Oryza sativa Japonica Group: one gene and its partner. The protein of the gene in region 2 interacts with the protein of the main gene of each other region in a pairwise test. Links are inferred from orthologs where the notes say so. Each region holds a gene or a part of one and is shown on either strand. Other genes may lie near its edges.

Evidence for each region.
Region 1: the proteins of polyadenylation and cleavage factor homolog 4 (region 2) and protein CLP1 homolog interact in a two-hybrid assay, tested with the Arabidopsis thaliana proteins (3 studies listed by BioGRID). The link is inferred for Oryza sativa Japonica Group from reciprocal best matches to the Arabidopsis thaliana genes PCFS4 and CLPS3.

The regions. Positions count from the first base shown.
Region 1 is NC_089036.1:6,588,240-6,594,987, forward strand, and holds the start of protein CLP1 homolog, read left to right. Parts: upstream 1-3,179; 5' UTR 3,180-3,295; coding exon 3,296-3,484; intron 3,485-3,618; coding exon 3,619-3,687; intron 3,688-3,802; coding exon 3,803-3,904; intron 3,905-4,319; coding exon 4,320-4,561; intron 4,562-4,990; coding exon 4,991-5,129; intron 5,130-5,231; coding exon 5,232-5,288; intron 5,289-5,770; coding exon 5,771-5,905; intron 5,906-6,247; coding exon 6,248-6,480; intron 6,481-6,748. UniProt on the Arabidopsis thaliana protein: Required for endonucleolytic cleavage during polyadenylation-dependent pre-mRNA 3'-end formation. Functions in gametophyte, embryo and postembryotic development.
Region 2 is NC_089042.1:5,174,579-5,181,239, reverse strand, and holds the start of polyadenylation and cleavage factor homolog 4, read left to right. Parts: upstream 1-2,897; 5' UTR 2,898-3,042; coding exon 3,043-3,312; intron 3,313-4,381; coding exon 4,382-4,747; intron 4,748-4,930; coding exon 4,931-5,047; intron 5,048-6,661.

The DNA.
Region 1 (6,748 bases), on a different chromosome or scaffold from region 2:
CAACTTTGATCCATTTACATGGGGTATTCTGAAACCAGATGCTTAGACATGGGGTTTTTTGAAACACAAGCACATGTACATGGGATAAGACTAGTTTCTAGCATGATAATTGGTTTCAGTACTGTTGCCTGAAGGACATAGCACCTTTGTGTTTTAAACTGGCCAAAAGAAAGCAGAGATGTGTCCTTCATGAACTCCTAAACAACAACTGGATTGGCTCCTTTAGGCAATTCACCACAGTGGAAGAGCTAAATGAATTAGTGCACTTGGGAAGCTTGCTCCAAGATGTAAATCTTTCCGACAGCATAGATGATATCTCTTGGAATTGGAATGAGTCAGGGTCTTACTCATCCAAGAGTGCATATCTCTTCCAATTCGAAGGATCCTTCACACCAATTGACTTCTCCTCGCTATGGAAGACGCCGGCTGAGCCGAAAATTCAGTTCTTTGGATGGCTTGTCCTTCATCAGAAAACCTTAACCGCACAAAGCTTACTTCACAGACATTGGCCGTGTAATTGGATTTGCCGTCTATGCACATGTGCCTTCGAAGACACCAATCATTTGTTCAGCGTTTGCAGCTTCGTCAGAGAAGTATGGAACTTTGTTCGCTCCTGGCAAGCTTTGCCACCTGTTATTGCTGATCCCACGGCCGGAACCTCCGTGTGGTGGGCTGCAATCAACTGCGTTCTCTCAAAGGATCAAAAGTTGGCGGTTAGAGGAGCACTCCTAACAACATGGTGGAATGTTTGGTTAGAGAGAAATAATAGGATTTTCGCTAATAATGCTAAGACCGAGCGTGAGGTGGCCTATGTCATAAAGCAGGAGCTTGATCTCCGCAAGTCGGCTTTTAGGCCGCCTTGATGTCTTCTTTGTTTTCTCTAACTGGCTTGCAAGCACTATATTTTCTCTTTCTAATTAAATTTCGGCAGAGCTCCTACCGTCGATTTCCAAAAAAACAAGCACATGTACATGTGGTTCTTTGATATTTACTCTTTTATTTTACAAATTTGATTTAATAGAAATTCAAAGTGATTTATAATATAGAACGAAGGGAGTAATTGACATCATCGTCACACAATCACTGAACTGTTTACATGGATATAATCGTAATCTACACAGCAAACAGAAAAATTCTTACAGTTGTTCCAGTAAATTGTTTCTTAGTTACGCCTTGCGCTGCAGGAAGGCGTAGGTGGCCCCGATCGCGGCGGCGGCGGCGGCGATCTCCAAGGCGCGCGGCGTCAACCTGGCCGCCCCCGTCAGCTGGTAGGCGAACTCGACGGCGAGGAGCGCCGCGAGCGGCCACAGCGGGGCCTTGAGCCGGTCCCTGATCCCCGGCGAGCCGCGGGGAGCTCCCTGGAACCGCGTGAGGAAGTAGAAGTAGAGCAGCAGGAGGAGGTACGGGTAGGCGAAGACGGCGGCGGAGAACGGCGCGCCGCGCTCGAAGCGGCGCATCTCCAGCGTGGAGTTGAGGGCTGCGAGCGAGTAGCCCACGAACGTGGCCCAACCGTCGCCGCCGCCGCCGTCGGCGGCGTCGGCTTGGGGATGGTGATCCGCCGGCGGTGGGAGCGGGGGCTCCTCCTCCGGCGGCGGCTGCGGCGGCGCTTGGCGGGAGGCCATCGTGGTGGATCGGAGCACGCCGCGATCGAGAGGATGCAATGCGAGGTGGAGGAGGAGGAGTAGGTAGCTCGCGAGCAGGAAGAATGGCGGAGATCGAGGAGAGTAGGCGACGAGACGACTCGCGATTGTCAATGATTGTAGGCGCGTCACGCGTGGACTTGAAATGTGATGCGAGATGATGAAATAAAAATGAAATGTCCTGCAATTTGGTGAGTTTCAAATAAGATTCGACGTAAATTGAGTGGTTTCAATTTGAGATGACGAAATTGGAGTTAGATTGAGAATTCTGTGAGTTGAAGTAAACTCTCAAATTTGTGCCTAGTGGTCCGAAAAAAAACGGAGCGGTCCATTAGCACGTGAATACATAATTAATTAAGTATAATTAAGTATTAGCTACTCCCTCCGTTTCATAATGTAAATCATTCTAGCATTTCTCATATTTATATTGATATTAATGAGTCTAAACATATATATCTATTTAGATTCATTAACATCAATATAATTGTGGAAAATGCTAGAATGACTTACATTGTGAAACAGAGGAAGTATTTTTTTTAGCACGTGATAAAAAAATTAGAAATATGATTTTTTTAAGCAACTTTCGTATTGAAACTTTTTTAAAAAAAACACACCGTTTAGCAGTTTTAAAAGCGTGCGCGTGGAAAAAGAGAGGGTGAGTTGGTAAGAGGATTCCGAACACACCCTTACTCTCTATCTTAACATTCTGAGAGTTTGCAATCTAAACTCACTCGCACGGACAATAATCGAGATTGAATTTGTGAAATAACAGGATAATATTTATCATGAAAAATTGTTCGTGTATACTACTTTTTATAATCTTTTTGGTGAACATCGTTATCATAGAGTATGGTAATGGATGCATTGACATATATATACAGTAGTCCCTAACGATATATTGAAAAATATAATGAAGATAAAATTGTGTTTGGTTTCTGCACCTTTGAACATGAAATGTTTGGTTATATAAAATTTATTATTACTCATAAATAAATCGAGTTTGAATTTAATGTTTTTAAACTTCAATAGATTTCCTATATATTTGTCGACAAATTTTCTCCTAAAAATATGACAGATATAATTATATTACAATCATAATGTAATCACACTGTAACTTAACTTATATGTAATTACACTGTAACTACAATGTAACATGTATGTAACTTTCAAAAATCTCCACATAACATGTTATTTCGGTAAAATAGAGATCATGGGATCAAATCCTCTCATATGTGCGTACTGTGACTTTTTTCTTCTTAACCTGCACAAAACTTGAAATAGATCTAACGGTTTAAAACTATATGAAAGTTACATACAAATTACATTGTACCTACCGTATAATTACATACAAATTACAGTGTAATTACACTATAATTATATTCTAAATACATCTGTTAAATTTTTAGGAGAAAATTTATAGGTGATCCCGAATCCAATATCCAAGCCCGGCTCCGGCCAAAGCCCAAATTGCAATCCCTACATGGGCCAAAAATGCCCAAAACCATCGAAACAAAACGAATCCTTTTCTCCTTTTCTCGCAAAATCTCCAAAACCGCTTCGGCTTCCTCTCTCCCCTCACGGCGGCCGTCGCTTCGTTCGCCGATTAGCCGGCGCCGCCGCCGCCGCCGCCGGTAGAGAACCCACCCCCTCCCCGCATGGCCGCCGCGGGCGGGGCCGCGCAGCCGCCGCGGCAGTACAAGCTGGCGCCGCAGAGCGAGCTGCGGGTGGAGGTGCCCCCCGACGCGCCCGTCCGCGTCCGCCTCGTCGCCGGCACGGCGGAGGTCTTCGGCACCGAGCTCCCCCCCGAGGGCTGGGTCCCCGTCCCGCCCCGCTCCAAGATCGCCGTAAGCGCGCCCTCCTCCTCCTCCCACATCCCACCTCCCGCGGAGGAGAAGAGACCCGCCACGGGATTCGCCTCGCCTCGGCTCAGCTTTGCTGCGACCACTGATTTCTTGCCATTTGGTATGTTTCGGGGTAGATTTTCACCTGGCACGGCGCGACGGTGGAGCTGGACGGGGTCAGCGAGAGCGAGTACACGTCCGACGAGGTGATTTCTTCTTCTCCATATTCTAATCCCCCTGTGAATTTTGGGGTTTTGAGCTTCTTCCAATGCAATGCGATGTGGTTGTGACATAGTACTAATTACATGCTCATGGCTGTAGACACCGATGGTGGTTTATGTGAACACCCACGCGATCCTTGACGCGAGGAGGGCGAGGGCGAGGGCCGCCGCGGCTCAGGGTGCCCTGCCGGAGTCCTCGCAGGTTTGTGATCTCGTCTCTCTCGGTTTGGCATCTCGTCATGCAAGTTATTGCACGGTTAATTGGTCAAAAATTGTGTAGTAGATGCACACTTTTTGATTCTGTTATGTATATTACATAATTGCATAATACTATGGGATGGCTAGCATGCTAATTTTACAGTTTGTTGCACATGAGGTGTTTTAGATTCCTAGAAATAATATAGTGTGTGTGCCTGTACTATGTACTCCAACATAAAACTAGTTCTGTTTAACAACCAATGTGTTAGAGCAATAACAGGTTACAAGTTGATGAGTACCCTACGGTCCAAAATTGAATATGGGTGTTGAAAACATTGAAACATTGTGCGAACAAAGGGTATATTTATCCCGAGGTTTTTGGGCTGTCTTGCTTAGTTTTGCCTCTCTTCGCGGTTTAGGGACCCAGAGTGATCATTGTGGGGCCAAGTGATTCTGGAAAAAGTACTTTGTGCAAAATGCTCCTTAGCTGGGCTGCCAAGCAGGGCTGGAAGCCTACATATGTGGATTTAGATATTGGCCAAGGTTCGATAACCATACCTGGATGTATTTCGGCAACACCCATTGAGAAGCCTATAGATATAGTTGATGGGATTCCCTTGGAGATGCCGCTTGCATACTTTTACGGCCATCCAAGCCCAAGGTATGTCGTTCCCACTAAGGCCTTGTTCGGTTACGCTTGGATTCAATCCGGGCTGGGAATAACAAGTATAGTAAGAAATTTATGATAGATACAATGAGAGACCGGAATTTATTTCGGGCCGGGAACCAATTTACTCATGATAGGGATAATAAGAGACCTGGAATCAATCCACTAGTCAAGAGGTGTGGAACTAATCCCGGCCTCTTATTGTCCCTATCATGAGTAAATTGATTCCCGGCCTGGAATAAATCCCGGTCTCTCATTGTATCTATCATAAATCTCTTACTATACTTGTCATTCCTGGCCCAGATTAAATCCAAGCGCAACTGAACAAGGCCTAACTGTTTTTTCCATGTATTTTATATAAAGACTTCTTTTCTTCTACTCAACTTTTTTGGCACCTCAACTATTTCTTTATGTTGCTGACAGTGTTAGTCCAGATGTTTACAGAGCTCTTATGAAGGAGCTAGCTCAGACATTGGATAAACAATTCTCTGGAAATTCTGAATCTAGGGCAGCAGGAATGATTATCAATACTATGGGGTGGGTTGAAAACCTTGGTTTAGAGGTAATTTTATTTGTTTCATGAGCAACTTAGATTTTGGTTATGTGTGTTGATGGCTAATATTTATATTCTAGCATGAGTTAATTCACCATTTGTGTTGTGCAGTTACTTCACAATTCAATTGAGATTTTCAAGGCTAATGTAATATTGGTATTGGGACAGGCAAGTGCTTCTGTTTTCTTCATAGTGTTGTAGAACTCTGTTCAAATGGGATGTCACTATCGTACTTCATAGTGCTATTTCAGGAGGGATATGCTTGTATTATAGGGCTGTGGAGAGCTCTCTAGTCATTTAGTATTCCCTGATTCTTATGTGCTGCCAAGTGTACTCTGGAATCTATGTTCAGTTTGATGTTGATGATGGCTGCTGTTTATATACCTCAGTATGAATCTAGGGGGGGCAACCAAGCATTTTGTTGAAGTATTGTATTATTGTCTAGACATTTGCTTGTGTGATATCAATTATTAGCTTGTGTTATACTGTCATAGGGGTAGTTACTGCCCCCCCCCCTCCCCTAACAACAACACACACACACAAAGGACAGCGAAACTATTGCTGTTAGGTTTATGTTGACAAGTGCTATCATGAATAAGCATGAAATGAAATGGTCCTGAAGATTGGATCATTTGATTTGTCTACTGCAGGAGAAACTATGGAAGATGCTAAAAGATGCAGCAAAAAATAAGCCCAACATTGATGTTGTAAAACTTCATAAATCAGAAGGTGTTGTTCCGAGAAATCCAAAGTACCGTCAAAAGACTAGAAGCTTCCGTATCAAGGTAAATTATTTTTCTGATAATAAAATGTGGAAGTTCCTAGATTCAACTTTCAAAAGTCAATGTTTCAATACAAGGCATTGTTTGGTAGGCAATATGAGAAATTAATTGATGTAGGCTTAAATACACATGCATTACTGTACAGTGTGACTCACCTTTATGTTCATTTTTCTAATGTTATCTTACAATCGAAGGAGGCTTAAACACACATGAATTACTGTACAATATCACCTCCTTTTTCATTTTTCTAATGTTATCATGCAATCGTATGTTACATTTGTTCAGTTAATGCCATCCTATTCTGCTCTGGTTTGCTAAAGCTAAATTGTAACACTCGCTTTGCAGGAGTACTTTTATGGCATTGCGAATGATCTAGCACCACACTCAAATGTTGTTAACTTCAGTGATGTATCTGTTTACAAGATTGGCACTCATCAAGCTCCTAAGTCTGCACTACCGATTGGTGCAGAGCCTGTGGCAGACCCTACTCGACTTGTTGCTGTTAACATCAGCACAGATATGGTCCACACCGTGCTTGCTGTTTCATATGCTAAGGAACCTGATGAAATAGTTTCCAGGTGATACCAACTGCCCAAATTAGTGCTTATGCTTTACATCTACTAAAATGTTTATGCTTAGAGCCATAGTCAATACAGCTTGATACGGTGATACCTTATTTATGCATATAATTGGTACATCAGGGCCCAGGTATAGGAAAGAAAAATACATAGTAAAGTTTATGGAATTTTGTATTGTCTTTCAGATGGGTGGGTTTCTTGCATGTTTTACATGTTTGATATTATTTTGCTTTCTTCAGACCAATCTATTATCTGTATGCACTAAATA
Region 2 (6,661 bases):
CCTTTTTCCTCTCTTTTTTTCTTCCTTCGTCGATGTAGCTTTCATCGTAGCCCTTTCTTGTGCACTGATCACTCTTCTTTTTCGTCGATCCACACGCCTTCCCCGAGTGGCATGAAATTTGACGCCGCCTGCGAACTCTGACGTCGTTTTCGATGACGAATTAATTTGATAATTTCTGCACCTTTTAATGCTGGTTTAGTGTGTACAGTAAGTGTTAATCTCATTGTGCTGTAGGGATCAGATCGTCTCACTTGGATGATTAGGAGAAAGACGACGAGTAGATGGTGAGAGGTTGTGACTTGTGAAAATTGATACTCCCTCTGGTTCTATATTAACGTTTTGGACAAGGTTGAGATTAAACTTTTATAACTTTAACCATTAATAACTTTAAATATTAAAATATTTAGTTTAAAAAAACTAAAAAAACATATATATATATATATTTGTCTTTTAAAACACTATTATAAAAGTAAACATGTATTTATTTATTGTATATGTTATAATAGAAAAATAAGGTCAAAGATATATATTGTAGAGCGTGTCATTGTTTAAAGCGTCAATCAAAAGTAGGGAGTATTTGTGGATGGAGTCGAGATGAACTCTTCGATGTGTCTGATAATAGTATAAAATCGTGCACATCGAAGATGCCGAAGCACACACGTACCTAGGTCCTTGAGAAGAACATGGACAACAGTTGGGCTATTTGTTTTTTACTTGCCTAGTGTTCCTTTTTTGTTCTTGGAATATTCAGATTTGAGCAGTTGGATTGAATTAGATTCAAAATCTGGTCCCTGTACATTTTTAATTTTAACTTTGGAGTTCTCCTCTCCAATATTAGTATTAATCATGGGGAAACTTCAAGCATCATTGGTTTAAAACAGAATAAGGGTAAAACAGAGCATCACCTTGACAGGATTGTGCTAATTTGATCCTTTGGAATTGTGATGAAAGCACTAATTTCAATTCAAGATGGCCACCAGACTTATGGAATTAAATTCCAATTGAACAATTTTTATGCAGATTCATGTGAGCTGAATTTGGTGTTCAATGTGGGTCTGCACTCTAATGAAGTTCACCTAAAAAAAGTACAAATGCCAAATTAATAACTATATATGACAATGTGATGTCTTTATGTTCTCTCTCTCTCTCTCTCCATCTATCTCTATTCCCTACCTCTCTAGGTATTATGACAACAACATTCACATGGCATCCACCAAACATATACGTAGATATTGACCTTGGTGTCTTAATCATCAATAAAACTATCATAAAGTATCATGTGGAGAGAATATCTCAAGAAAGATGGTTATAATACACCAGCTAGCACTTTGTTATTTTTATAATTGTAACCATCTTTTGGGCTGAACAAAGATGGTGATTTCTACTTAGAATATGCAAATGGGCAGTCATGTGTGTCTTATAAATTGTTTTTTCTTCAGGCTTCAGCTGACTAACTGGATTGTGTAGTGGGCCCATACATACATATATACATTGCAGTCCATCTTTGCACAATGAGACATGTTCTAGGATTGACTGTAATTGGGCTAGCTATGAACTATATATGAGCTTGAAGGTTAGGCCTGGCAGGCTGACAGCCCAACATGGCTGTGGTTGTCTGCATGATTAGTTCTTATATCTTGTAATGTTAGGAATTCATACCGAAACTCATATCGTAATATTGAAGGAAAAAATAATAAGGCCAAAATATTGTGCAAATTCTCTTAAATTCATGTATCCTTCCTACTTGCCAAAATCACTAGAGCATTGAAACTGAAAATTTCGGGTCTATTGGACACATAAACAAACAAACTATTTCACCTAGATTTTTTTTTTGAAATTTTTGATTCTTTGTGAATTATAAAAAAAAAATCAAACTTGACCAACTTTTGTTTTAAATTTTAAATTATTTGGCCCAAAAATTATTGTAATTTCTGAAATTCCGGTCATATCAGTGCCTACTAATAGATTAAACCCTAGTATAAAGTTCTTTTTAAAACAATGGGAAAAAGGCCGTATGCCTATCTAATGCATTTACAACTCAATCTTTTTGAAGGTGACTGAATCTTCCAGCAATAAAAGGTGATGTCTTCTTAAAGATCCACAAGTAAAGAGATTTTGACAAGTAATGCATACTTCATGCTCAATCGTGGATGTGAATGCATATCATAAACATGCATCAAATGCAACAAGATTGACCAGGGTTCGCGAAATAAAGCAATAAGATTGATCACAACCTCATCTCACTGAGAACAAGGCCAAGGCATATCAAACACATCATCGGCAATCTTTTCAAATCTTATTCTTTACCATCCATATAACATGAATGGGGGTGTAATGCATGTACTAACCAAGCAAACCATCAAAAAAAAAACCTCAACAAAAATGCATCAACATTCACCATAACCTCATCCCATCGATAACAAGGACGAGGCATATCAAACACATCAATGACAATCTTTTCAAATATCGGCCTTTACCATCCAAATAATATGAATGGGTATAATGCGTGTACTGAACAAGCAAACCATCACAAAAATAAAAGAATCTCAAGCAACTTCGTCGTGAAGTCTAAGATCTACAGAAAACATAATGCCATCATGCATTTGACATCTTATCTACCACAACTCCACAAGGCCATAAATCCACACAAGAGGAACACTACCATTTTTCTCTCAGAGGAGGACAACAAACGAACAAGACATGAAGCCGATGAGTCCAGCAGAGCAGTCTCACTCTATTCCCCCAGTTTGATCTGGCACGTCGGATCAGGATCGGACGGCCGAGAGCCCATCAGTCACCGCCGGAATTAAATCCCAGCGAATCCCAAATCTCCCTCAAAAAAGAAAAAAAAAAGAAGAAAAATCCCCCAAATTCGCCTAACTCCGAATCGAAACCTCTCTTCCCCCTTTCGCCTCCGCGACGCATATGCCTCCGCCTCCGCCTCGTCGCGGCGCCCCCAAACCCTAGCCCGGCGCGGCGAGTCCCCCATCGGCGGCGGGAGCGGCGGGAGTAGGCGGGAAGGCGGGATCTCCTCCGTCCCACATGGCGGCGGCGGCGGCGGTTGCGGGGGCGGGCGGGGTGGGGCACGTGGTGGAGAGGTTCAGGGCGAGGCTGCGGGAGGAGCAGGAGGAGGAGGAGGGGGGAGGCGGGGAGGTGGCGGCGGCGGCGGTGGTGCGGGTGTACGTGGAGGTGCTCTCGGAGCTCACGTTCAACTGCAAGCCCATCATCACCGAGCTCACCATCATCGCCGGGCAGCACGCGGCCCTCGCCGCGAGGGGGATCGCCGACGCCATCTGCGCCCGCATCGCGGAGGTTGCTGTTTTCTCTCTCTCCCCCCTCATCCGGGGGGCTCTTCGCTTGTATGTACATAGCCTAGGTTTTGGGGATGTGTGGGCTTGCGTAGACTACTCGTCCAGTGGATATGCTTGCTTGCTGATTGTTGTGAATGCTAGGGTTTGGTGATGTGCTTCTGCTGAAAATTTTAGATATATACATGTTTTTGAATTTTGGAGCCAGTGTAAAAGTTCGGGTTTGGTGCGCTTTGTAGATGACATTTTGTTCCTAGGGTTTTGTAATCGTTGCATTTGATGTGTGATTTTTGTTGACTTGATGCACATATAGTGAACAATCGGATCAATCCCTGTTTGTAGTGGCTCCGATTGTTGCAAATTTGGTTGCTAGGGTTCAGTAATCAGAGTGAGATTCAACAAGTTTTAAAGTGAAGTGATGGAAACGGAGTGTATGCGATTGGCACCTAGCACCAGTCTGTGATATCTAAGTGATGTATCTATAACTAGAATTGAGTTTCAGATAATCAAGCGTATAGGTGGTAATGGCATTCACAGCCTCCATGCATAGGCTATCTTGTTCCAAATGAAGTTGCTAGGATCTTTGGTTCTGGAAGAAATTTTTTGTCTCTAAAACTGAACCAAAAAAAGGGAAAATAATGGTGATTGGTTGCTCGGAATTTACATGGCTGGGAATTTTTCTAAAATTTTCTTTTAGCTGTTTTTTTGGCACAACATAATTGCTGCTTGAAATGGAATATCAGTAAAACGATTTAGAGTTATTGTTGGACTCTTGGGCAGTATTGTTTTGCTTTGTATTGTCTGTTAATAGTCTATTAGTTATTTAGTTTTGATTTCTTTTCTGAAGAGAACATTAAAACTGCAATTTTAAATGGCAACAATATGGTAACCAATCCTAAGAGAAATGAGTTAATAAACTAAACTAACAGAACACCATGTAGCTTTCTTTACAGATTCTGTTCATCATTTCATAAGAGACTGCTTGATTTAATTTTAATCATATGCATGCTTTCTATTAATTATCTATGAACGAACTGTTCCTTTACATGATTTCTTATTCAATTTTGTTACAGGTGTCTGCCGACCAGAAATTACCATCTTTGTATCTGCTAGACAGTATTGTGAAGAACATAGGACGAGAATATGTAGGGCATTTTGCCGCTAGGTTGCAGAAGGTATTTTGTGATGCCTATAGGAAAGTTCACCGCAATCAGCATGCTGCAATGCGACACCTCTTTGGTACCTGGTCACAAGTGTTCCCTTCCTCTGTGCTACGCGGAATTGAGGATGAGCTTCAGTTTTCCCCCTTAGAGAATAAGCGCTCTGCCACAGCGACTGATATCCGACAGTCAGAGTCGATATCTCCTAGACTGTCTCATGCCATTCATGTAAATCCAAAATATTTAGAAGCACAACAACAATTTAAGCAGTCAACTTCGGTATGTGTTTTTTACTTCTTGTTAATACCAACTTGATTATTTGCTACAGCTAGTTGTTTTGACTATTTGTTGTGTGATTTAAGCATGGTGTCTATTTATTTCATTGCCTAGCTTGAGATATATGTGATGCCTTTCTGTTTCAGATCAATTTTATACATTGGAGTTTGTGCATATATTTTTTAGGTGCATCAACCAATAACTCGTGGAAATCGGCAAATGAATGATGTGGAAGAGGATCAAATAAATGGTTTAACATCTAAAAGTTCGCGAGGATGGCCTGCAACTAATTCAAAGCTCCAGGTACTGGGTCTTTCATCTTCCTTTTTTTTGCTTCTTGTCATTCTTTCACTCTGAATTACCAGCCAGGTTTGAGACCTACTCCCTCCGTCCTAGAAAAAACCAACCTAGGTGGGGATTTGACACCACCTCCTCATGTCCAGATTCATTGTCCTAGATGGTGTCAAATCCCCACCTAAGTTAGCTTTTTTTGGGGCGGAGGGAGTATAAGCCAATACTATACAGATAGATGCTACTGTTGAGTCCTATCTTTTTATAAGTACACAGTAATGAGTTCTGTTTTTTGCGCAACTCATTCTGGTTCTCCTGTGATCACCAGAAAATTAAACTGCATAAATCCTAACACTGAAGACAGTATCTACTAGTTGCAAATCAGATCCTTAATGCATTTGTGCTTTTTTACAACATAGAAGCAGTTCTGTTGTTTTCTTTCTCATATATGTACTGATTACTGACTCATCAATAGGGGCTTTGAAGGTGCTCTCTTTGTAGCTTGACAAAGGAGAACCTCCCTTTTGTTCTGTTTTGGGAGTGGTTATTTGAGATAGCAACAACCATGTGATTTAACACATTTGTAAACCCTGGCTCTGTTTGTAGTCTTCAGTGAGTTCCTATAACTCTTGTGATGACATTTGCATTGTTTGGGACAATGTAAAGCACCTTCGTTGTCTCCAGGTGTAACAAAATCCATCCATCTCAATATTAAATAAGAGAAAATGCTTTTTACAACCCCAAACTTCACTTTCAGAACTCTGCCCTTCTCAAGTCTTAACATTACCCAAATTTAGCCTAGTTTTGGGTGACATGGCGATGTGGCATAAGACTTTAAATATTTTCTAATTTTAAAAATTTGTAAATGACTTCAAAATTCTTCAAAATTATAACTTCTATGGAGTATTTATAACATAGATATATTTCTATATGAGCAAAATATAGTACAATTTGCAGTTTTCCATGCAGAAAATAGTGCTTAAATATGAACAAAACCATATTTTAGGAGATAATTAAACTATATTCCACTCTGAACAAATAGGTTCTAGATGGTCTAATGTACAAATGTTTTTATACTTCAATTACTATTTTGTAAAATTCAAATACGTAACCCAAGGATGAAATTGCATTTGAATTTTTATAATTTTTAAACCACTTCACAAAAAATAATCTGTAAAGATTCTCAGTTGCATATTGGTGTATTGAAACATAAATAAATTATGACTTTATGAGCATAGCAAAATCAAGTTTATTTGATGCACAAAAATGGTTTTATCTAGATTTAAAACTATTTTCTGTGGGGATTATAGTTTATTCAACTCCTATGAACTTTTTGTTGTTGCAAAATACCGTATAGAGCAGTGGCAATTTTTAAGTATTTCTAAGATTTTTATTTTAAAATTTTTGAAATTCGATTTTTTTTCAGCCTTTCCACTTTGCCATGTAATCTTACTCCATGTCTATCAAAAGTCAAATTGTCAAAACCACTTCAAATTTGTGCGAAGAATGAAAAATGTGTGGTTTTGAATGTTCAGGGTTGAATTGTGTGCAGTTATGAAGTTTATGGTTGATTTCTGGACACTAGCATATTGCCTGTGCGTTGCAACAGAATTTTAATTAAAGAAA